Drosophila melanogaster: one gene and its partners. The protein of the gene in region 1 interacts with the protein of each later gene in a pairwise test. Each region holds a gene or a part of one and is shown on either strand. Other genes may lie near its edges.

Region 1 (8,389 bases):
CGTATCAACTCTTTCGGCTTTCCAGACCACAGAAGCAGCTCCGTTTGCATCAAAGGAAACATAATCAAAGCTTGGAACCCCATCTAAATGATTCGGAGAGCATTGAGATCCTTACATTGCAGCTGCTTAAGGAATATGGAGCAGAGGCCAAAGAAGCGAAGGCCAAGGGGTCACTATTGGTGAAACTGAAACTGGAAGAGCAGGTGGAGGAGAACTCGCTGACACAATTCCTAAGGGATAACGCGTCGGTGGAAATTGACTTGCATTTGCCCCCAGCCCAGGTACTGGTCAAGACTCTGCAGGGCCTTCCATTGGCTCAGTTGCCCCGTAACATTCGATCGCGCCTTTGGCTGGTGATCTTTGTTCTATACAGGGATCTCAGTCTTAGCCATCAGGAGGAGAACGCCAATCAGATTCTGGAGCTACTAATAGGTAAATAATTTAATCGAATTTATACTTCAAACTCATTTGTTGGATAAACTACTTGCTTGCAGATCTTATGCATTTCGGCCATCCGCTTCCCATATGCAGCTACTTCCCGCGGCTAAGCGAACTGCTTTGCCTTATCCCCACCAGCTCGACGGTGGGTTGGAGCTTCTACGAAACACTTTTTGCACGTTGCATTCGCCGACAGGGTGCCGGTAGTGAAGCATTTCTTGCAAGTTGCACGGGCTTTTTTAAGGATCAACTGGCTGCGTTAAACAAATTGCCAGCGGAAGAGCGTCGTCTTTTGCTGCTGGCCATCGAAACACTTAGCAGTGTAACTGGAGCTCAGGGCAGGCGATTGCAAGGCCAGCTACAGCCACTTATTCAGATCTATGGCGAAATGGTGACTCACAAGTTTCGCTCCAAGAAAAAGGAGGCGTCTGCTTATAAGGAGTTCGTGGATAGCACGCTATCAGGTTATGCAACTTACGTGAGCAATTGCATAAATAGCGTAGTCAGGTGGGAGCGGGAAGAGCAGAAGAAGAGAAATGAGTCGGAGAGTTCAGAAAAAACGAAGGCTGAGCCAAAAGTAGACCACAAGAAGAAAAATAGGGATCCAGAGACAGCGAAGATTCAGGAGTTGGAGGACAATGGAAAGCAGAGGCAGCCGAAACTCATAGATGAAAACTTTCGACGTATCTGTAAGATATACATTGGTCACTCGGTGGGTGCTTTTCGTGTTTATAAGTATTGAACAAACCAAACAACAATATTGCTATATTTTTAGTTGAACTATCGCGATGCTAATGCGACACGCTTGCTGAATGTGGCGCTCACCCATCGTCAACGTTTGCATTTGGATCCGGATGAGATAGAGTTCGTGCTAAGCAGCTATTGGAGGCAATTGAATACAGACATTGAGGTGGGCGACACATTTTCCAGTTCAGCACTGGATTGTCTGGAGCCGGCCATTAAGCTGATCATTGGCTATAAGACTAACGAGGATTTCCTACTGCTCCTGCACCGTCTTTCCTCACAAGTGGAGCAAATGGCACGCCCTGCGTCGCAAACGGAGCACACGGCGCTCCAGAATGTGCTAACCCTTTTGGCTCTCTTTGCCAAATGCTCGTTGAGCAGCGTGAAGGGAGCGGTGAGTCTTCTCCAGCACCTTGTCCTCGTTCCATAGTTAATAATGTTCTCTTTAGATGCTTAATGAGCATTTCGAGGTGATCAGTGTGAGTGTTGCACTGCGTCTACCGGAACCCAAAGACTTGGCATATTCTGGTCATGCCCTTCGACTCCTGGAGGCCCAGCGCAATCTGGCTGGGAATCGTACGGTCCCTCTCACAGGAGAGTCCCTGGATTGCCTTCTTAGCAGCATGTTGGATATAGACATCAAGCACTTGATCAGCCACGGCGGCAGTTGGCAACAATTTGTGGATCTGTATAGTGCACTCACAGACAACCTGATTGTGCTGTTAAAACAACACAGTAACCTGATGTCAGACCGAGCAGCCCAGCTCAGTGTCCTTTGCCAGGATCTCATCCAGGCCGTCGTTGGCTATCGGGCGGAAAGAAAGCAGACACAGGACATAAGTGAAACGGAGCTGGATGGTTTGGCGGACTTGGGTCTGAAACTGGCTACTGTAATGGCCACAGTGCGCGCCACGCAGGCACTGGCCGTGAAGAGAGTCGCACCCTTCCTGCTTATCTTCACCATTCGCCAAATGGTAGCAACCGAAAGGCCCACGACGCTGTTCGAAAAGGTGTGTTTTACGTTAAGGGAACGCCATTGGCCAAGTCGAAGTCAAAATTCAAGTTTCGCAGCATTCCGAAGAATAGATCAACGATTTTTGTTTCGTGTTAAGAAGTATATGGTTCTATATTCTTTAAGGAGTAATAATTGCCATTTTTTTATTCTATGCGTCCACGTAGTATATATATTTTTATAGTGGGCTTACTTTGACTAATAATACGATTTTCCCCAGATCAAGGTCCACATAGTGCGCGTGTGCCATGAACTGATCGGTATTTGCGATCACCGTGCCGGACACTTCATCCTACGCTCCAGCAATGAGGCCGGCGCCAGGATGTACGAAGGATTGGTGAAGGATCACGAGAAGTACCACAAATTTAGGGGCAAGGTGTAGGTAGAGACAAGGAACGAGTACACCTGTAAATTTTTTTTTATATTTATATGAAATACCAACTCTTTAAATATAGAAATATAAAAATGATTGAGTTGTCCAAAATTTGTACTGCTTCAGAACTTAAAATTTAACAAGCACTGTGACCTTGCTGAGTGCTTGTTTGTGTGAAGCCGAACATCTGGCAGTACTCGCACAGCGCTAACGAAGAATAGATCAAAGATTTTTGCCTAATGTTAAATACTATATAGCTCTATATTCTTTAAAACGTAATACATTTGACATTTGCTTGATTGTTTGATGCCCTAGCTGAGGAACATCTGGCAGTGCTCGCACAGCGGATCCTCCTCTTCTTCAATTCGATTACCACTGGAAATAAGATGATGGTCGATTGATTTTTAAACTAACGGGTTTCCCTAGGGGGATGCTTCTTCCTTCTGGGACTTAACTCACAATAAAGTCACGCAGTTGCGGCAAATAAACTTGGCGCACTCGCCGCAGGAGTAGCCACACTCCTCGCAGAGATCCATCACGCAGTTGACGCATATGTCGTGGATGAGTGTTGGGAGCTGGCAGCAGCGCGATTTCAGGGGCGGATTCGACAAGTCGATGGAATGGTTGCGCAGAATGATGGAACCATCGCCCAGCAGATAGTACTGCTCGCATAGGGCGGGCTCCTCCTGGCCTGGCCCCAATGGATTCAGGGTATTCTGGCCCTGACCTTGCCCATTGCCGGTTTCGCCATCGAAAAGCATTTTGATTGTCTTCTCTGCAAAATAAATAGCAAAACGGAGATTTCCAGTTCAGGGTTAGACACCTCAAGGACGCCGCTCTTCCATCAGCTTCGATGGAACGTGACATATAACAGCAAAAAAAAAAGAATATTTACTTGATTTGTTTGAGGTCAGCGAGAAGTGCAATCAGAACCCTTAAAATTTCCAAATTGCAATGACAGTAAAATAGTGAGACCGATCGCGGGAAACAAGCTGACTTGACCCCATTCAAAATGCCAAAATCAGTAAATCACAAAATCGATTAATTTGCCAATCGATTCTTACTTGCAATTGCGAATTTCTGAACACTGTAGCAGTTTATTGCCAATCTCTTCGTGGGGTTATCCCCGTAAATTTGTGGTCGCTGCTTTGCTCCATTTTTTGTTCTCGTGTTTAACGGTTTAAACTGAACTCATCTTTGCATTGAGCAACAACAAGCCCGACATAACTGCACTCTGAGCGGCGCTTCCTCTCCGATCTACCACCCGCTCCATTACAGGAAGTAGGAGTAGGTGAGTTGGTGCAAGTGGGACAATGCTTTACATACCAAGGACCCTCTTCATCTTTCGTGGTCCGCGGGGGTCGCCCATTTCTGTTCAAGATTGTCTGCCCATGGTTCTCAGCTCTGAGCTGCTCCAGGATGCCCTGCGGTCCAGCAACAAGCTTCTATTCGAATGCTATGGCAGCCTGATCAGATGCTATCAGGAGTGCGTTGAACTTCGCAAGGATAACAAGGATCGGACTAAGAGCCAAGACTACTGGGATGCAGAGTTTGTAGGTTCTGTGATCAAGCAGCTGGCAGAGATGGTTCGCCGCTCTCAGGAGCCTGAAAAGCTGTTAGAAGAGAACAATTCGAAAACTGTTCGTCCTCTTGTCACTCGGTGGGTGCTTTTCGTGTTTATAAGTATTGAACAAACCAAACAACAATGTTGCTATATTTTTAGTTGAACTATCGCGATGCTAATGCGACACGCTTGCTGAATGTGGCGCTCACCCATCGTCAACGTTTGCATTTGGATCCGGATGAGATAGAGTTCGTGCTAAGCAGCTATTGGAGGCAATTGAATACAGACATTGAGGTGGGCGACACATTTGCCAGTTCAGCACTGGATTGTCTGGAGCCGGCCATTAAGCTGATCCTTGGCTATAAGACTAACGAGGATTTCCTACTGCTCCTGCGCCGTCTCTCCTCACAAGTGGAGTAAGTGGCACGCCCTGCGTCGCAAACGCAGCACATGGCGCTCCAAAATGTGCTAACCCTTTTGGCTCTCTTTGCCAAATGCTCGTTGAGCAGCGTGAAGGGAGCGGTGAGTCTTCCCCAGTACCTTATTCTCGTTCCATAATGTTCTCTTTAGATGCTTAATGACCATTTCAACCGGAACCCAAAGACTTGGCATATTCTGGTCATGCCCTATGACTCCTAGAGGCCCAGCGCAATCTGGCTGGGAATCGTACGGTCCCTCTCACAGGAGAGTCCCTGGATTGCCTTTTTGGCAGCATGTTGGATGTAGACATCAAGCACTTGATCAGCCACGGCGGCAGTTGGCAGCACAGACAACCTGATTGTAACAGCACAACACAGTAACCTGATGTCACCCCGATCAGCCTAGCTCAGTGTCCTGTGGCAGGATCTAATCCAGGCCATCATTAGCTATCGCGCGGAAAGAAAGCTGACACAGGACATAAGTGAAACGGAGGTGGATGGTTTGGCGGACTTGGGTCTGAAACTGGCCACTGTAATGGCCACAGTGCGCGCCACGCAGGCACTGGCCGTGAAAAGTCGCACCCTTCCTGCTTATCTTCACCATTCGCCAAATGGTAGCAACCGAAAGGCCCACGACGCTGTTCGAAAAGGTGTGTTTTACGTTAAGGAAACGCCATTGGCCAACTCAAGGTCATGATTTAAGTTTTCTAGCATTCCAAAGAATAGATCAAAGATTTTTGCTTAATGTTAAATACTATATAGCTCTATATTCTTTAAAACGTAATACATTTGACATTTGCTTGATTGTTTGATGCCCTAGCTGAGGAACATCTGGCAGTGCTCGCACAGCGGAGCCTCCTCTTCTTCAATTCGATTACCACTGGAAATAAGATGATGGTCGATTGATTTTTAAACTAACGGGTTTCCCTAGGGGGATGCTTCTTCCTTCTGGGACTTAACTCACAATAAAGTCACGCAGTTGCGGCAAATAAACTTGGCGCACTCGCCGCAGGAGTAGCCACACTCCTCGCAGAGATCCATCACGCAGTTGACGCATATGTCGTGGATGAGTGTTGGGAGCTGGCAGCAGCGCGATTTCAGGGGCGGATTCGACAAGTCGATGGAATGGTTGCGCAGAATGATGGAACCATCGCCCAGCAGATAGTACTGCTCGCATAGGGCGGGCTCCTCCTGGCCTGGCCCCAATGGATTCAGGGTATTCTGGCCCTGACCGTGCCCATTGCCGGTTGCGCCATCGAAAAGCATTTTGATTGTCTTCTCTGCAAAATAAATAGCAAAACGGAGATTTCCAGTTCAGGGTTAGACACCTCAAGGACGCCGCTCTTCCATCAGCTTCGATGGAACGTGACATATAACAGCAAAAAAAAAAGAATATTTACTTGATTTGTTTGAGGTCAGCGAGAAGTGCAATCAGAACCCTTAAAATTTCCAAATTGCAATGACAGTAAAATAGTGAGACCGATCGCGGGAAACAAGCTGACTTGACCCTATTCAAAATGCCAAAATCAGTAAATCACAAAATCGATTAGTTTCCAATCGATTCTTACTTGCAATTGCGAATTTCTGAACACTGTAGCAGTTTATTGCCAATCTCTTCGTGGGGTTATCCTCGTAAATTTGTGGTCGCTGCTTTGCTCCATTTTTTGTTCTCGTGTTTAACGGTTTAAACTGAACTCATCTTTGCATTGAGCAACAACAAGCCCGACATAACTGCACTCTGAGCGGCGCTGTCTCTCCGATCTCCCACCCGCTCCATTACAGGAAGGAGAGTAGGTGAGTTGGTGCAAGTGGGACAATGCTTTCCATACCAAGGACCCTCTTCATCTTTCGTGGTCTGCGGGGGTCGGCCATTTCTGTTCAAGATTGTCTGCCCATGGTCTCAGCTCTGAGCTACTCCAGGATGCCCTGCGGTCCAGCACCAAGCTTCTATTCGAATGCTTGGCGCGTTGAATTTCGCAAGGATAATAAGGATCGGACTAAGATTCGACGCTCTCAGGGGCCTGAAAAGCTGTAAGAAGAGTACAATTCGCAAACTGTTCGTCCTTTTGTGGGGCTGCATCTGACCTTAAAAACTCCATGCCTAGACGAACTAGGGATAGATGAATGCTTCCGACATATCTGATCATTGTCTTTAAGACTAACGAGGATTTCCTACTGCTCCTGCGCCGTCTTTCCTCACAAGAGGAGCAAATGGCACGCCCTGCGTCGCAAACGCAGCACACGGCGCTCCAGAATGTGCTAACTCTTTTGGCTCTTTGCCAAATGCTCGTTGAGCAGCGTGAAGGGAGCGGTGAGTCTTCCCCAGTACCTTATTCTCCTTCCCTAGTTAATAATGTTCTCTTTAGATCCTTAATGACCATTTCAACCGGAACCCAAAGACTTGGCATATTCTGGTCATGCCCTATGACTCCTAGAGGCCCAGCGCAATCTGGCCGGGAATCGTACGGTCCCTCTCACAGGAGAGTCCCTGGATTGCCTTCTTGGCAGCATGTTGGATGTAGACATCAAGTACTTGATCAGCCACGGCGGCAGTTGGCAGCTATTTGTGGATCTGTATAATGCACTCACAGACAACCTGATTGTGCTGTTAAAAGAACACAGTAACCTGATGTCAGACCGAGCAGCCCAGCCCAGTCTCCTGTGCCAGGATCTCATCCAGGCTATCGGCCGGAAAGAAAGCAGTTACAGGACATAAGTGAAACGGAGCTGGTTGGTAATACATTTGACATTGTGTCGTCCCAAATTTGTACTGCTTCAGAACTTAAAATTTAACAAGCACCGCGACTTTATAAGTGCTGGATTGTGTAAAGCCTTAGCTGAAGAACATCTGGCAGTGCTCGCACAGGGGATCCTTCTCTTCTTCAACTCGATTACCACTGGAAATAAGATGATGGTCGATTGATTTTCAAATAAAAGGTGTTCCCAAGGGGGATGCTTCTTTTAAGGACTTAACTCACAATAAAGTCACGCAGCTGCGGCAAATGAACCTGGAGCACTCGCCGCAGGAGTAGCCACACTCCTCGCAGAGATCCATCACGCAGTTGACGCATATGTCGTGGATGAGCGTTTGGCGCTGGCAGCAGCGCGATTTCACTCTCTCCAGGCGCGGATTGGACAAGTCGGTGCGAAGGTTGCGCAGAACGATGGAACCATCGCCAAGCAGATAGTACTGCTCGCATAGGGCGGGCTCCTCCTGGCCTTGTACCAATGGCTTCAGGGCATTCTGGCCCTGACCCTGCCTATTGCCGGCTGCGCCATCGAAAAGCATTTTGATTGTCTTCTCTGCGAAAGAAATAGAAAATCGGAGAGTTCCAGTTGAGTTAGACACTTAAAGGAGGGTTAGACACTCAGCTTCGATGGGACGTGCAAAAGAACAGCAAGAAAAAAATTAAAAAAAAAAATTTATGCGTAAATTCATCGTAAATTAGAGGTCGCTGCTTTGCTCAATTTTTTGTTCTCGCGTCTAACTGTTCAAACTGAAGTGAGCAACAAGTCCGGGATAACTGCGCTCTGAGCGGCGCTATCTCTCCAATCTCCCACCCCTCCATTACAGGATCGAAACAAGATAAGTTGGTGCGAATAAGGCAATTTACATACCATGGACCTCCTTCATCTTCCGAGGATCACGGGAGTCGCACATTTTCTGGTTCACAAATACCTTCCGCTGCGTGAGATTGTTGTTGGCGTCGCCATCCGCTGATCGCGATCGTTTTGCCGCCTTTTTACGGACCTGGTTTTCCATGATGAGATACTGGCAGATTGTTGGGCAGATCGGATAGGAACGTCTTGAAATATCAATTGAAAATCCTTTACTTTCA
Region 2 (7,966 bases), on another chromosome or scaffold:
TGCTGCTCTTGTCGCTGCCTTCGTGTTTGCTCCTTGGACAAACAAATTCAGGGAAAGGGGCCAACGGGCCAAAGGAATGAAACTCGTGTAATTCATATTCATTAGCTGCCCCATTGTGTCATTGTCATGAAATTGTAATATTACCGAGAAGTGCCTGATAATTAAGTTGGTTGTGCATTCTTGGAGAGTGTGTGTAAAAATATTACAAAATTAATTGAACCAGTCAGCAAGGTAACGTATATGGATTCTGAGTAACTTTATTCGCTGCACTCACAAACTATTTAAAGATAACGTCAATTAAACTTTTTTTGGCTGCAGCTAATTAATATACTTTTTTCAATATAGTTCATTGATCATTAGCTCATCAAATGCTGTTGGTTCCCATGACGTTGTTTACACCATTTTAATTGAATTTCAGTTCAGCTTAACCATGTAAAAAAACAACTATTTTGGTAAGCTTATCAATGTTGTCAAAACCAAATCAAATTAGCACACGGGAGATACTAAGTCCACTACGTATGTTACATGAGATAGGAAATAATCAGTTTGTTTTTTTTCAATAATATTTCCTATTTCAATTACCAATATCATAATGCAAACAAGAAAGAAGCTGAAGAGTCAAACTTTTAACGAAAGCATATTTTGTGCAACAAAAACCTTATGCACTTTTGAATTTTTCTCATTGTTCCGAAAAGAAAATTTCATTTGCGTCAATGAAGACTGTAGCCGAATTCAACTTTGGCCCCTTTCAATGGAAGTCAAATTGAATCCCAAACTAACTCGATAGCCAAATGGAAAACACTCTCTCCGATGTGTAGAGTATAATAATCAGGCTAACACACTAAAAGGGGAGAAGAACGGGTTTGGGGAGGATTTCGGTATAGAGATGCCAACTTTATTTAACTGTTTGCCAAGCTGTCAAGCTCTAGCTAACTGCCAGCACACACATACACACACACACTTGCAGGCAGGCAAACACAACGGTATTGCAGGTGATCCTGGTATTGGTTTGGTTTTGGCTGTGAGTTCTTTGGAGGGTGGTGCAGTGGGTGGAGCAGTGGGTGGTGGCTCAAAAGGGAAACGCGGTACATTTGCGCTCAACGTGTTTGCCTTTTGGAACGTTTCACGCTTCGATTGCAACGCAGGCAAAGGCAGTAAGTGGGATCGGAAGGGGGTAGAGGGTGAACTCATTTTAATCTTACTGCAAAAATTATGTGTAGACTTTAACGACTATCTGGTTCCTCACAACCAACTGCGGGGACTAAGCTGTTAGGCATTGTTAAAGATTATCTATAATATATATATATATATATATATGTGGTTTGTGGTTTTAAGAGAATGTAAATAATAATTCATTCGTAGGCAATGCTAAATTTAAGATATTATACATTTACCAATTTGTTATTTTCACAAGTTGTGTATACCTTGCATTCCACAATTGTACAGGTCCAAAGACCCAAACTGCAAAACCAACATTCAAGCGTACACTGAGTGGGAGAAAAAGAGATAGGCACTGGGCTGTGTGTGTGGAAATGCAAAAATTAAATTTTAAATATTTATAAAGTACAGCCTGTTGGGGGGAGTGTGGGGGATAGAGACCGAAATGAATAAAGAGGGAGGGGTGGTAGGCCAATAAAAGGAATTTGCAATTGGTCTGATTGGCTTTTAATCGCAGCAGACAGTTTTTAATAAATATGCATAACCGTTTGCGCTTCCAATTGGAATACAGTGGTAGATCTCATCGATGGACACGTAAAGGATCCTGTCATTAATAAAAGCGATGTGAGAATGCGGGAAGGGATTAGGTGGAATCTTCCAAAAGACCTGAGAGTAAACATAATTATTAATGGCTTGTAAATTTGGAATAGCTCAAAAATATGTGGAAAGTTTAAAAGTAGTCCAAATAAATAATATTTCTTTTCACGCAATCAAGGTCTGCAATAACCTTTGCATTCAATAACCTTCAAATGCATTCAAATTTGATTTACTGATGCAACAAATATGTTTATAAATTTTACTTATAGTGTCAAAACATTTATATTTTAAGTACCGTGTAATTTCTCAATCCAAGATTGACTGTACAGTTGAGGAAAAAAGACAAAGACGGCTAGCCTTTTCATAGTTCACTGTATGCCGAATGTGTGGGGCGTTTCGATGCAACTTCTTGCGGAAACGGATGTTGCATTGCATAGCGGAAGACGAGAGCCGAAAGAGTCGAGGAAAATTTATGATTTTGCCATAAAATCCTGTTGATATGTGGATGCAAGGAAGGCTCCTTGCCCACGTTCGATTTTCTCACCTCACAGCTGTTATTTATGCGCATATGTATGCGGCGCGTTGCACGTAGAATTTGCACAGACAGAGCCTCGGATACGGATACTCAGATACTCGGATACACACACATATACGCAGACACTCGAACACAGATACACAGTTGCGGATACGCAATGCACACATCCTGCCGGCACTGCACATTGTTGCGATTGATGCACATAAGAAATGCAATCGGGGCAACTGCAATTTCGTAAATCGAAGGAAAAATTTCCTAGCCGCATCAACATCGCATTTCGTCTCCGACAGAGAGGCAATCAAACATGGCAGGAAAACTGCAGCTGAAAAACAGTTGTTGACTGTTTGCCGGCATCGCCTATATCTCCATCATCATGATGTTGATGATCATCATCATCTTCACCTCGCAACAGGACACAACATCGCAACGTCATCATCGCGTGGAGGAACAAGTGAAGGAGGACATATCCTCGTCATCGTCACTTTTATGCTGCTGTTTTGTCGCATCCACTGTGCTTATAAGCATCCGCTCGTCACATGCGTGCAAGCGTATCGGGGATCTACACAGCGAGAAAACGGATTTAGCTTATAATTTTTAGTAATATACATTTTGAATAATATATACCTAATTAGTCATTCCATCAGATAAACGGAAACTGATAATATTGTCTCTCCCCTTAAAATATATTAATATTAATATAAAAATATTAAAGGCATCGTGCTTTAATATTTTTACGCATTTTTTCTCGCGGTGTCTGGGCTCGTATCTGAACGTACTCCGGCAAAGGCTTGTTTATTTGCTGGCAAAATTGTGAAATAATGTGCTGCAATCAATTCCCAATACAGCGCTCCGTGACCTCTAGCCCCTCTTCACATGCGGCACTCCCTCACTTTTCCCTTTGGAAAAGCGGGAGAAAGCGGGAAAAACGGTGTGCAGTGAAGTTATTTGAAGTGGCAGCTGCCACAGAGCGAACTGCAACTGCCACAACTGCATTGGTTGCCCCACGCCTCTTATCATCACTTGATTTACCGCCCCCACTTCCCCCATTTTCCACGTTTTCGTCCGTATCGGAGGTAACATGTTTGTGATGAATATGTTTACATCAATAACAAAAACTCCACTATGGCGCATCAATAATGAAGCCTTGCTCTGACTCCGCTTTACAAAACCCCCTATCATTCCATCCAACGGGCGGCAAAACCCCATTTTGAACACGTCAAAATGAGTTTACTTTGTGGTTTCGATGGCTGCGATTGGAAACTGCTCCCGCGGATTATGAAGTATCTCGATTGGAGTACCGAATACATTCATCCACACACAAACACATCGAGTTCTTGACATCCTCAACACAAAAACAACAGTAGCAATGGCAACAGGGATTACTTCGAGATTGCAGCAGGAAAACCACTTGATATTTTGAAAGTGAATCCGTCCACAGTCTGATCGGAGATTTGGTATTATCCGAGATTAGGGGTTGGGTATTTGCTCGATACGGAGACAAGGACTTAATTTATAATTAATAAACATGTTTGGCTTAATTTACCAGAGAATAATGATGGAGTAACAATGAATTTGAAACTCCACTAAGCAGCATTTAAACAACATACGTAAACATACAAATTTAATATGTATGGTAACAATAAATAAAGTAATTTTAAAATCGAATATAAGAAGATAATATGTGACTTGAAGCAGGCATACCTTCTACTACATAATTAGATCCCAATTTAAAATGTTAAACAGAGTAATTTGAGTGCAGAGTTCATAGAGAGATTTATGATAATAAATTAAAAATAAAATAAAAAATTGTACGCGAATGTAATGAAGTTATACAATAATCTTCCAAGAAAAGGAGCCCACGATTTTTATATATTTTTTGACGATGACAATGTATTTTATCAGTTAAATATTATAAGCCATATAGGGCACACACAAGTTTACACTAATACATTTTAGTTCGGTAATTAGTTCCTTTCAAAGGCCAAAACTACACATAGCTACAAACAAGAATGGATGGGGACCAAGTAAAGGGCATCCTGAAGTCGGGAAACAATAGTGCGCAATTTAGCCTGAAGGCAGCCAAATTTGATGAGGTCAACATACTGGCCACGTTCCACCCGGCTGGTAAGGACTACGGCCACATGATCATCGACGAACCAAAGACACCCTTCGTCTTTGAGGAGGATTTGCCAAAGGAGTTGGATACAAATGCCCTGATCGAAAAGTTGAGACACACATCAAAGTCAGAAATGCCGGCATTTGGCATCGAAGGAGACTCAGAAGAATCCTCGGCGGATGAGGACTTTCCCGAGTCTGTAGAGGAAAAAGTGCGTAGAATGGAGTTTGAGAGGCGGCGAAAAGTGCATTACAAGGAGTTCTATTCGGTTCCACTGGCTCGACGTCTTATAGCCGACGAGTTTGCCGAGTTGACCAGTTCAGAGTTTAATATTCACTGCGAAGGGGGAATGGAATCTTGTGAAGCGTGCAGTGAAAACAATCAACTCGACGGCGAAGCAAGCAACTTGACGCAAACAAAATACTCATATTCTGAAAGTCAATCCGAATACAGGATATCAGATCATTCTGAGCCTGAACCAGGTTTCTCCCCCAGCCATCACTGCTACCAAAAACTGAAGGCCGAGCTCTTTAGCAAAGCAGAGCCGGAAGAATTGGCCTCTTTAACGCACTTGCATCGAATGCCATCGGTCAACGATGATGAACCAAGTCGCGAGCCTCGCGTCCCATACCCTTCGGTTGTTCCGACTCAAACCCAAAATCTACATGAACACAAGAGTTCACTGAAAATAACGTCCGAGAAGCCTACTCCTGCTCGTATATGTAAATCCAACCCTGATAATCGTCCTGGCACTTCTAAGAAAGAGACCCGCTGAAATCATTCAGTAGTGTTAAAAATTGCAAAGTTATATTAAAGAAACTTGTAATTATAACAAACCATTGGGGATTAAAACTTGTGTATGCATTTGACAGAAAGTATCTATTACACTACATCTATCTACACTCTTTTGTAGAAGAAGCTTTTAACAAATGTTGCCTAATGGTTTTTACTCAAGGATAAATATCTTTAATTACTCAATCACAAAAATTGTGTCCAATAACTTTCGGTCATTCCACTCCTGTTCGTGCCTCGTCTAAGTTGCTAAGGAAATTATAGGAAAATTCTAAGTACCACTGGCCAGGCTAATTGCTGAGATGTTGATATGATTAACCCACTAACCTTCATTTGCTCCCCATCTATTAATACTTTGCTTCCGAAAGTTCACTGGTCTGGGGAATATTTAATTACGCAATGTCCTAACGGTAATCATCATTCGGCCGAAGCTAGATACAAGGATACACAGCCAGAGTTTAACTTATTTTGGCATTTTGTTTTGTGATTGAAAATTCCTTTTGACAGTCTAGGCAACCGAAGAGTTTTCCTTCCGGCCAATCGCTTTCATTCTGATTTCATGCTCTGGCCATTCCAATTGTGAAGAAAACTGATTTCTGCCCTTTAAGATAATTCCTCGGATATTACAACTGCAGAATCACTTGAAATAATTATGCAAAATGTTTAATTTAGCCATTAAATGCCGTAGCAGTTCAGTTTTATTATTATTAAGCTTCGGTCAATTCGCTTGCAAATGAAAGGACAACACAAAACCGGATGGTGGTTGGGGGAAGTGTCATGAATATTTATGGGGCCATGTTATCATTGAATAGATTTCAATTAGATTTATTTGCAAATACTTTCGGAGAAGAAAATGAGTAAAGGCAAATACGTTAAGTAACGTTGATCTTGTAAATAAAACTTAAACGTTAAGGTCAAGCATTTTATTTAGAGATGTTTGGTCTTAGCACAGATTAGGCATTTCTCTGTCAATATGTAAACTATGGCTGTACAATTGTATTGTACCATTTGAGAACTTATTTCAATATTGACAATTTATTAAATGCATTTACCATTAAGGAAAGCGCCCATTATTTTCCCACCTTCAGCGAAGCTTTCCATTTGCAAGACATTTAATTGTTGATCCTTAACTCAAGGCTTTTAAGTGGATTTAAACCGAAAAACACTTAAATTGGACAAACAACATGGATGGCTTAACCCGTTGGCAGCATCGTTAGCCCCGTGAAGCCATTTAATGCGAACTTGCCATTTGGTCAGAAGTGATGTCCGAAGTGAAATTTAAGTTGGCTGCAATTGATGGTCGCAGCATCTCTGTCTCCGTCCGTTTTTCCATCTTCTCCGGACTCTCCAGTCCGGTTCTTCTTGGCATCTCCGTCTCCGGCTTGGTCTCCGTAACAATTGCCGTGTACATTTCATTAAGTGCATAAGCCCGTCCGGCTGTCAGCTCTCCTTCGCTCCCTTTCTTCTCTATCTTTCCTCCTTTCGACCACTTTCTCCTTCCTTGCCACTTCTGGCTGTTCCGTTCGTGTGGAGCGTTTTTAAGCCGGAAAATTATTTTTAATGCTATTTACACTCACAAATGAAAATGCAAGCGCAAATAAAGGCCGCCAGCAGTCACGAACTGGCCAACAACTTAACTGGCATAAATGCTGGTGGCCAAGAAAAAAGGAATATACATACATATATATTTTGCAAGTTGGCTGGCAGATGAAGCTATATAAGCGACAAGATTCCCTAACAATTTTACAATACAACTTAATCAAATTTTTGGAATATTTTACTGTACAAATTCTAACCATACACGTAAATGATTACATTTTAGAGATTAGGTCCTTTTAAGTTCAGTTAAAAGCAGTGATCTTAAGATGAATCGTATTTATTTTACATATAATAATACAAATTTAACGTAAAGAATCATTTTTGAAATCATTTCACTTAACCGAAACTATTCAACCCACGAAGCTACAGGGCATTAAAAAAAACACTGAAACTGGTTGAAAAGTGAGGCCAAGAAAAAGGAGCTGCTTTAAAGCAGCTGCCCACTTTACAGACAGACCTCGACCTGAACGCGTGTCGCTAAAAAAGTTCGGCTAAATATTTGCGAAAGCATTTTCGCTATTTGCGATGGCATTTCGTGTGGCATGCGGCATCTCCGCTGCGCTCCTTTCTCCATTCCGTACACAATCCTCATTCCGTCATCTCACGTTGCAAGTGCAGCACGCAAGAAAATCCCAGGGGGATGGGCTTTTTTGCCAGGGAAAATGGGGATTGAGCTGCACTTGCTTCGCTGGGGCATCAATTTTCATTTTGATAAATTATAAAATGGCCCATCGCTGGCACCCAGAGCACCAAGCACTGAACACCGAGCACATCCTCGGCCGAGGAATAAATGGATTGCCTGGCGATGGCCAACGTTAACCCATGGCAGCAGCCTTGAAAATTGAATGCCAATGGATTTTCGAGAGGAGACAACAAAGCAGCTTAGATGGCTAAATGAATGGGGTATATACTGTAAGGAGGGGTTCTGGTTGCCACTTTATTGATGCATCAATCATCGTAGCTCATAGCTGTTTAAAACCACTTTTGCTGCGGTTTATTGAATTAATGGATGGCCTGACTTCTTAAGCTTTAAGGCAAATTGGGCCTTGTTATTATGACTGAAACTATGCATTATTATAATATTTATTTTCTTATTTAGATACTTACACTGCTATAAGAACGATTTAAAAACATCAACGGGTTAAAAGCCAGCAGAAAGTGGTCCGGAT
Region 3 (7,609 bases), on another chromosome or scaffold:
GGTGTACCAGCGTTTTCTGGCCGCGGATAATGGTTTGGCGCGTTCCGCTGGCATAGCTCTACTCGAAAGACTGGTCCTAGTCAATCCCCTGATCATCTATAACACGAATTTTGTGAAGGAAACCTCCTTGCTGGCCGTGGATCGCTTGTCTTCGGTGAGGAAATCTGCACTGGAGACCATAGAAACCCTGCTGGAGGCCTACTCCAATTGTTTCGCCCTGATTTGTGTGTACTGCCGGATTTGGGCTTGCCTAATGAGCGATGAGGATGTGGCGCTCCAGAAACTGGCCATTTCGGTAGGTAAACACTTTGAAAGTTTATTAATATACTAAACTTTGTAACTTGCTTGCAGAGCTTCGATAGAATGGTCTTGAAAAACATTCAGCCCCTGGAGTATTCAAACGAAGCGAAACACTTTATGCCCTGGCGAATCATCAGCACCCTGCTGATGACTCAACCAAGAGCTTATCTTCAAGAGAGATTCGCTGTTTTACTGGAACGGGAAACCATAGTAACGTAGGTTATATCATTGCTAAGAATCTCAAGGATTATAAGAGTCTCCTTTGATGTTTGCAGACCCAGACTGGTGAATGTGATTATCTCCCACCTATCCACGTCCATGGCTACCGATGCCTGGGGATTGCTGCTATTCCTGTCCAGTCGCATCACCAACAACATGGACGCGCTGATTGGCATTTTCAATGGCCTCTCCTCCTACAACATGAAGTCCAATCAATTTCTGGCGCTGCAGCTGATCACTGGCTGCCTGAGGAACTTCTCCAAGCCGGCACTCAATCAGCTATTCCAAAAACTACTAAATGCCCTGCGCACGGGCAGCATTTGGTTGGGCATCATCTCGAGTGCCGTCAATTTGCTCAACCAGATCCATCACCTTTCTACCAGCCAGTCACCTACGATTGCCTCCGAGATGCCATACTGGCAGCTCAGTTTGCTGGAAGATCTCGTCGAGGGCATTCTGAGCAGTGCTCAAAATTTTCAGGAGGAATATGCCCGGCTGCAGTGCTTGCTGGGCGCCTATACCGAGCTAATTGTGATGGTGCCCCAGGATGTGGACAATAGGATCGTGAGCATTGTGTTTAAATATCTGCAGGAGTGTACCAAGCTCTGTGAATCGGAATTCGATTCGGATAACGAGCGCATGACCAACTGGATGATTGTGATAGCCGGTCGTTTGTCATTGCGAGATAATCATCTGGCCAATAGTGCATCCAAGCTGTACATAACCATACTGACGAAAAACGACAGACCTCAGATCATCAATACCACTTTAATAGCGCTCAACGATCTCGGCAAGAAGCATCCATCAATTCTAGAGAGTAACTTTCAGGCGATCTTGTCGAAACTACAATCGAAATTCGCCATGACCCGGGTGCGCACCTTTCGCTGCGTCAAGGATGTGATTCTGTCCGGGAATATTAAGCTCAAGGGTCCAATTCTCATATCCATGCTGGCTGCCCTGGTGGACGAAAGTGCCGAGGTGGCCAGGGAGGCGGATGCCTTCTTCACTCGCTACAAAAAGTTGTACAACAAAATGTTATTCGATCACTGCCTGAAGGAGTGCCCCTTCGATCTGAATGACCAGGCTATTTTGAGGGGCGTGAGAACGAATGGCAACTACAAGTCACCTCTGAAGGGTTCACAAATGGCCAAGAAACGTAGGTTGCTCTACAATCACATAATGTCCTCGATGGACGAGAACGTGCTGTTGCTTTACTTCGGCCAACTAAAACTGCTGGCAGGTGAGTAAAGTTGTTTTATACATACTTCAAGTAGATATGCTAAGATATATATACTTCTTGTAGAAAAGACCAGAGACCAAGCATTCATCAACAATCCCGACGCCCTGATTGTGGTTCAGGATATGCTCTTCATCATGCGCCGCATTTGCTATTGCACCAAGGGAATGGGTAAAGAGAAGAACTCTCGTGGCGAGGGCGACAATATCGATGAAGGTGAAGATGCGTCATCGGAGCCAGCAACTCCACCAACTAGACCAGAAGCAGGCGAGGCAACAAGCAGAGGAAGAGGGCGAAAGGCGGACATGTCCGAGGAGCCAGTATGTAAATCTAACTGATTAACTTTTCCCCCTTGAGCTAAATGTTCAAATTCCTTTGCAGCTCAAGCAACTGGAACGCTGTCTTCGCTTTGTGGAAGAAACCCATCGCAACATAGTGCCCGTCATGAGTCCCGAGCTTAGTCACAACTTTGAATCCTTTTGCCGAGCGATGGCCATGAGATTCCCCAACTACATTGAGTTCGCCCAGCCCGCGCAATTTTGGCGGCAGTTTCGATCATCGGCGAAAGCTCCCAGAGCGAGCAGAAGCAAGCGACGACGTATGGAGGAGGGCGAAGTCGAGTCCCATGAGGAGCACGAGTCGGAGAGCGACAGTGACAGTGAGCTGCCGCTGGACAGGCACAAGACCACGCCGACTGCCTCCCGTTTGTCCCAAAGGAAAACCAGCTGCGATATGCTTGTCACCGAGCTGATTTTCCAGCCACCCGATTGGTAGTTTCAATTTTTGCGACCTTGCAAACTGAATTTCTCAATTATTTAGTTTTACACAAATCGAATATTGTATTATTTTGCATTATAAAATGTACATATGTATGTATCTATAAGCCAAAAATGGAATCAAGTTATTCTTGACCTTGAAACTATTTAATAAGCCATTTTGACGTTTTGAGTTAATAATAATCCTTGCTGTACTCGCATATTTTCTCCAAAATGTTCTTGTAGCCGCGCATAAACTCTTCGAGCACCAGCTGGCACACTTGGAGCTCGTTCAGGCCCAACTGTTCGGCTTCCGTGGCCTGGATGAGCATGCACTCCAGCAGAGCCGCGTTCACCGGCTGCACGAAGAGATTCCGATCCCTGCGATCGTCGTGCCGCACCGGAATGATCAGATTGACGGGCATCGGAGGTTCCGCCGGTTGCTTCACTGCCCTGGCTGGAGTGGCGGCAGTCGCTATGGGTCGTGAGATGGGTATGGGGTTAATGTGACTACTAGCCATCGGTGGTTTGCCAGCCACTAGGGTATACTTTGGCGGCGTCATTAGCGCCTTGCCGGGCAACGCCAAAGTGGATGCCGCCACCTGGAGCGCCTTGCCCTGGACATCGATGCCCGCCTTGGCAGCTGCGGCTGCTGCCTTGGCGCTCATCGCAGCCGCCTTCTGCCTTTTCACAGCGCTGGAATTCTTGGCCACGGAGTTGGGGTCCACCAACTCGCGCACCTCTGTGTTCCTGCAGCCTGCATTACAGGGTATATGAGTGCCGTAGGGTATATTTATGCTTATAGAAATGAAATCATACCAACGCATCGACAGAACTTGGTGCAGATGGCCATGGACTGATAGCAGTCGCAGTAGTTCTTGATGCACTGCGACCGCTTGCAGCAGCATCCCTTCACGCCGCCTGCTCCTTGACCCTTGCCCTTCTTGCCATCCGCTTTATCCACACTTCTTTTCTTGGGCGATGGCATGTTGCTGCCTTAATCTCTTCCAGAAACGAACTGATGACAGCTCCAACAAAAAAAATCAGTGTTGAAAGGATGGCAACCCTTATACATATAAAAATATATATGTATAAATAAAACAGCAATATTGTGGGCACTAAACTATTAAAGCTTAGATAAAGTATTTATATGTCGTACTGGTAATAAAGTTAAAATTTGTTAAGTACCAATCGTTTAACAAGTGTCTAGTTTATATCGTTATAACATAGATAATTTCCTTTGGTGTCTACATAATATGGCATGGCATTAAGTTATGATATTGTTCTCCTCTACTCGTTTAGTCTACGATAATTGAAAGCTATTTTATATTATAGATGTAATAAAAAGAGTTACATTATTAATTGATATCAATTGTAATTGCTTTCCTTTCATATATATTCTGTGTCGAGTGATTTGGCAGCGAAACCAACTCAAACCTCTTCTCAAAATTCTCTTTTTTTGATTGGCGTTTAGTACTTAAATTACTTATGTAATTGGAATGAAGTGCGTTGCATTTCCCGCCAAAAAACTCGACATTTGGGCGCGCGTTTTCAAAAATATCACTATCAAAACGATATATTTATGCAGTGTGTAAATGTGTGCAGCAGAAGACTTCTTAACAGTTGGAAAGTAATTGAGTGGCCTGCAATCGTTGCTATTGCTTCTAAAGTAACTAGGATTATCTCCGCTGCGCTCCTAACTAGTCCCACTTGGTGCGCTCCTAGCATATGGTTCCATTGAGCAGCTCGTAACAGTTGGGCGGCGATGCTGGCGAGGCTGCTGCCGCCGCCTCCTGTCGCGTCTTCAGAAAGTTGCCCACCCAATGGGCCGTGAGATCCAGATATTTCGTTCTCGAGCCCGGATTGTAGTCGAGGAAGCCGGCGCGTGGCATCACCTCCTCGATCTGGCTGCCATCCGGCCAGTTGTTGTAGCTGGCTATGTTGATGAAGCCCACGTGGTTGAGAATGGCTGTCCGCCAGGCCACGCCATAGTACTGCAAGATCAAATGATATTAGTATTAGTAGCCTGTTCTGGCACTCCAGTTGATGGCTGCTCCTTCACCCGTCCATTGCTGCGATGCCGCTGGATGTCTCCGTGTCGCGGAAACTTGTTCCTCTCCGCGAATCCCGGACCCACCGTGGGCACAAAGAGCATCTTGTAGGACAGCGCAAATGACTTCAGATACGACCAGTTCTTCCAAGTGCTGGCGAAGACAGCTCCATTGCTGGGCAGTTTGCTGTAGAAGCCATCGAAGCACAACCTCCGCAGGACATCGGCATGGCTTTTGAGCCTGGAGAGAAACGAAAGGATATATAGAATCACCTAGGATAATCTAAGGCGCACCCCACCTTATGTGTCCAATGAATAAGGCATCCAGAATTCTCCGCAGACCATCCGGTTCCACCAGCGAAGGCGATCGACACAACAGCCTTCCCAGACTATCACTCAACTTGTAGGCATTGCTCACGTAGAGAACCGGCAGGGAGACACCTCTCGACTGACTCCACACCTTGTAGAATCCAGCTAGGCTGGTGTATGTGGCAATCTCCTGCAGCTGCTGGCGCACAAACTCCACGCTCTGATTCCCGGCCACACTGAGCTCAAAGGTAACGCTAAGATTGTGCTGCGGTGCCAGTTCCAAGATCTGATGCAGCAGTGCCGCCTCCGCGGGCTTGCCACCGGAGAAGCTCAGGATGAGCACACCGATGCCACAGCTGCGTATGTTCTCGAAATGCTGGGCCAGCAGCGAGCCACTGGGCTTGTACAGACCCAGTGCCGGATAGAAGGCGGTGTTTAGGATTCGCACTGGTCGCGGCGTGGTCAGTGGCACATCGTTTGGGTGCTCCGCTGGCGGCGGAGGCGGCTTCTTCGACTTGTACCACGGCACCGGGGCAGTGTAGAATATGTGCACTGCACTGATCACCACATCCAAAGTGGTACGCGACTGAACAAAGTGTACATTTTTAAGATTTAAGGACTAAGATTGGCCACCTTCTTGGACTGAACTGGAAACTTACAGACTGCTCCGCCTCGTGGTCCCGCTGCTGCTGCTGCTTCATCAGATCGATTTTGCTCTGAATGATGCGCTCCTTGATCTTCTGCTCGTCATACTTCTCGGGCACAATCACTCCGTTCTCCCGCTGCGGCTGGAGCAGCGCGACGGCCACCGGCGGCGGCTTCTCCGCCACTTGGGGCTGATCCCCGGGCCTGTAGGCGCGTGCGATGAATCGCTCGTCCAGCAGCAGTTCGATGGCCGCATTGCGTCCGCTGGAGCCCAGCACTATGATGGTGATGACCAGCAGGGCGACGATGGCCAGCAGGAGTAGAATCTTCAGCTTACGCCGCGTTTTCACATACTTTTTTAGCAGCATTTTCGCAAGCGTGCATTTTCTCTCATTGTTTGGACGTCCTCGTTGTTTTTCGTCCCCAGTTTTTCGTACCTCCACCCCACAACCCCTTCTCTTCCTGTCGCAATGCAGCTGCCGGAAGTTCCTGGCCATTGCGCATGTCCTGAAACGGACACACTAAACTATGCCCAGCGAGTTCCCAATTACCATTTCACCATTAAAGCATATGCGAGTTTGTTATTTTTTTTGGACATTTTATTGTGAGTTGATTTATAATATTGTACACATTAATATTGCTAAGTTATTTAAGGGAATATGCCCCAGAAATTTTCACAAATAAAATAGTTTAAACGGAAATGTGAAACAAGTGGGTTTTAGAATCCATTCCCAAAATAAATACATTACTTATAATTCCGTTTTTGTTTGTCAACACATTGTCTGAATAGTTTTTATTTAGTTATAAAGTAGAGTTTTAAAAAAGGTTTTAGGTTTGTATCTATTCGAAGTGCATAGTCTTGTTCCGATTAACATGCACCTTCGAGCTCTAGCGTCCCTCAACTGGAAAAGAAAATCAAGTTAGCACTGCTGGTGGCTGGGGATTACTCATCATTGCAACTTACTGTATGTAGAGAGATCGATTTCCTCGGGCAGCTCACTGATGTTCACATCGAAACGATCCTGTACTTCGTTAAGTATCTTGGCGTCGTTCTCGTCCGAAACGAATGTGATTGCCAGTCCCTTGGTGCCGAAGCGACCGGCACGGGCCACGCGATGCAAGTAGGTGTCGGAATCCTCGGGCATGTCGTAGTTGAACACGATGTTCACACGCTCGATGTCCATGCCGCGGCCAAAGAGATTGGTGGCCACCAGAATGCGCTTCTGGAAGTCCTTGAACTGCTGGTAGCGATTCAGACGCTCCTCCTGGGTCATCCCACGATGGATGCCGATGGCGGGGAAGTTCTGCTCCGTCAGCAGCTGCGACAGAGCCACGCAACGTTGCACAGACTTCACAAAGATGACCACCTATGACAGGGATAATCAAGTAAGTGGTAAATATAAGTTAAGACCACCGAATGACCTACCTGATTGAACTCGAGCACGTCGAGCAGTTCGAACAGTTTCTTGTTCTTCTCGTTCTCCTTCAGATTGACGTAGTGCTGCTGCAGTCCGTGCAGCGTCAGCTTGGCCTCATCGTCGACGTAGACCTCCATGGGCTGGATTTGGGAAATAGAATGTGGCGCATTTTAAAGGACACAATTAGGAGGGGTACAGAGAAATCGAACTTAGACTAGGCTCGCCTCGGAACATACAACAATATGCATAGAATATTCTACATACGGCCACGCTACCACCACATCTCATCAACTAGTCTCTGAACTGCTCCCGAGGATCGATGATCGCTCTGAGAAGTGTGCGGATTACAGATGAGCGGGCCTATCGCATCGCATTCGCTCTGGATTGATTCAACTCGTCTCATCGGCCAGTCGGCGGGATCTTTGCTGTTTGCTTGTAGTTTTATTTAGGTATTGGTTTTTGCTAGCGTTGGTATTGTTAAATCTTTTGCGATTTCAATTGATTCATTCAGCGGTTACTGCTTGTTTATGCTTTTGCAACGGTTGCCAATTTCCACGATTAACCATTTAGAAAATGGTGTCCGATAGTCATTAACTAAGTTTTTCGATACGAGTTATGCTCACAGAGCGCTGGACGTTTGGTTGTACGCGTTTAACCATTTGCAAGATGGTGGTTG

Evidence for each region. Proteins that work in one complex are often made in the same cells at the same time.
Region 2: the proteins of CG3176 (region 1) and CG6380 interact in a two-hybrid assay, tested with the Drosophila melanogaster proteins (one large-scale study listed by BioGRID).
Region 3: the proteins of CG3176 (region 1) and tomb interact in a two-hybrid assay, tested with the Drosophila melanogaster proteins (one large-scale study listed by BioGRID).

Annotation. Positions count from the first base shown.
Region 1 is NC_004354.4:477,071-485,459, reverse strand, and holds CG3176 (uncharacterized protein), read right to left. Parts: upstream 3,523-8,389; 5' UTR 3,463-3,522; intron 3,343-3,462; 5' UTR 3,329-3,342; coding exon 3,027-3,328; coding exon of another isoform or gene 3,023-3,026; exon of another isoform or gene 2,943-3,022; coding exon 2,879-2,942; 3' UTR 2,692-2,878; downstream 1-2,691. Other genes in the region: CG18273 (uncharacterized protein), read left to right, coding at 1-432, 495-1,150, 1,214-1,576, 1,632-2,192, 2,415-2,576; CG32817 (uncharacterized protein), read right to left, coding at 5,367-5,430, 5,515-5,816; CG13373 (uncharacterized protein), read right to left, coding at 7,384-7,447, 7,529-7,853, 8,169-8,313.
Region 2 is NT_033779.5:17,288,442-17,296,407, reverse strand, and holds CG6380 (uncharacterized protein), read left to right. Parts: upstream 1-4,205; 5' UTR 4,206-4,299; coding exon 4,300-5,181; 3' UTR 5,182-5,333; downstream 5,334-7,966.
Region 3 is NT_033779.5:5,533,228-5,540,836, forward strand, and holds tomb (tombola), read right to left. Parts: upstream 3,532-7,609; 5' UTR 3,500-3,531; coding exon 3,331-3,499; intron 3,269-3,330; coding exon 2,706-3,268; 3' UTR 2,634-2,705; downstream 1-2,633. Other genes in the region: Cap-D3 (chromosome associated protein D3), read left to right, coding at 1-295, 352-515, 576-1,759, 1,823-2,076, 2,138-2,530; CG14015 (uncharacterized protein), read right to left, coding at 4,233-4,505, 4,574-4,802, 4,861-5,456, 5,530-5,883; Hel25E (helicase at 25E), read right to left, coding at 6,404-6,417, 6,480-6,882, 6,942-7,073.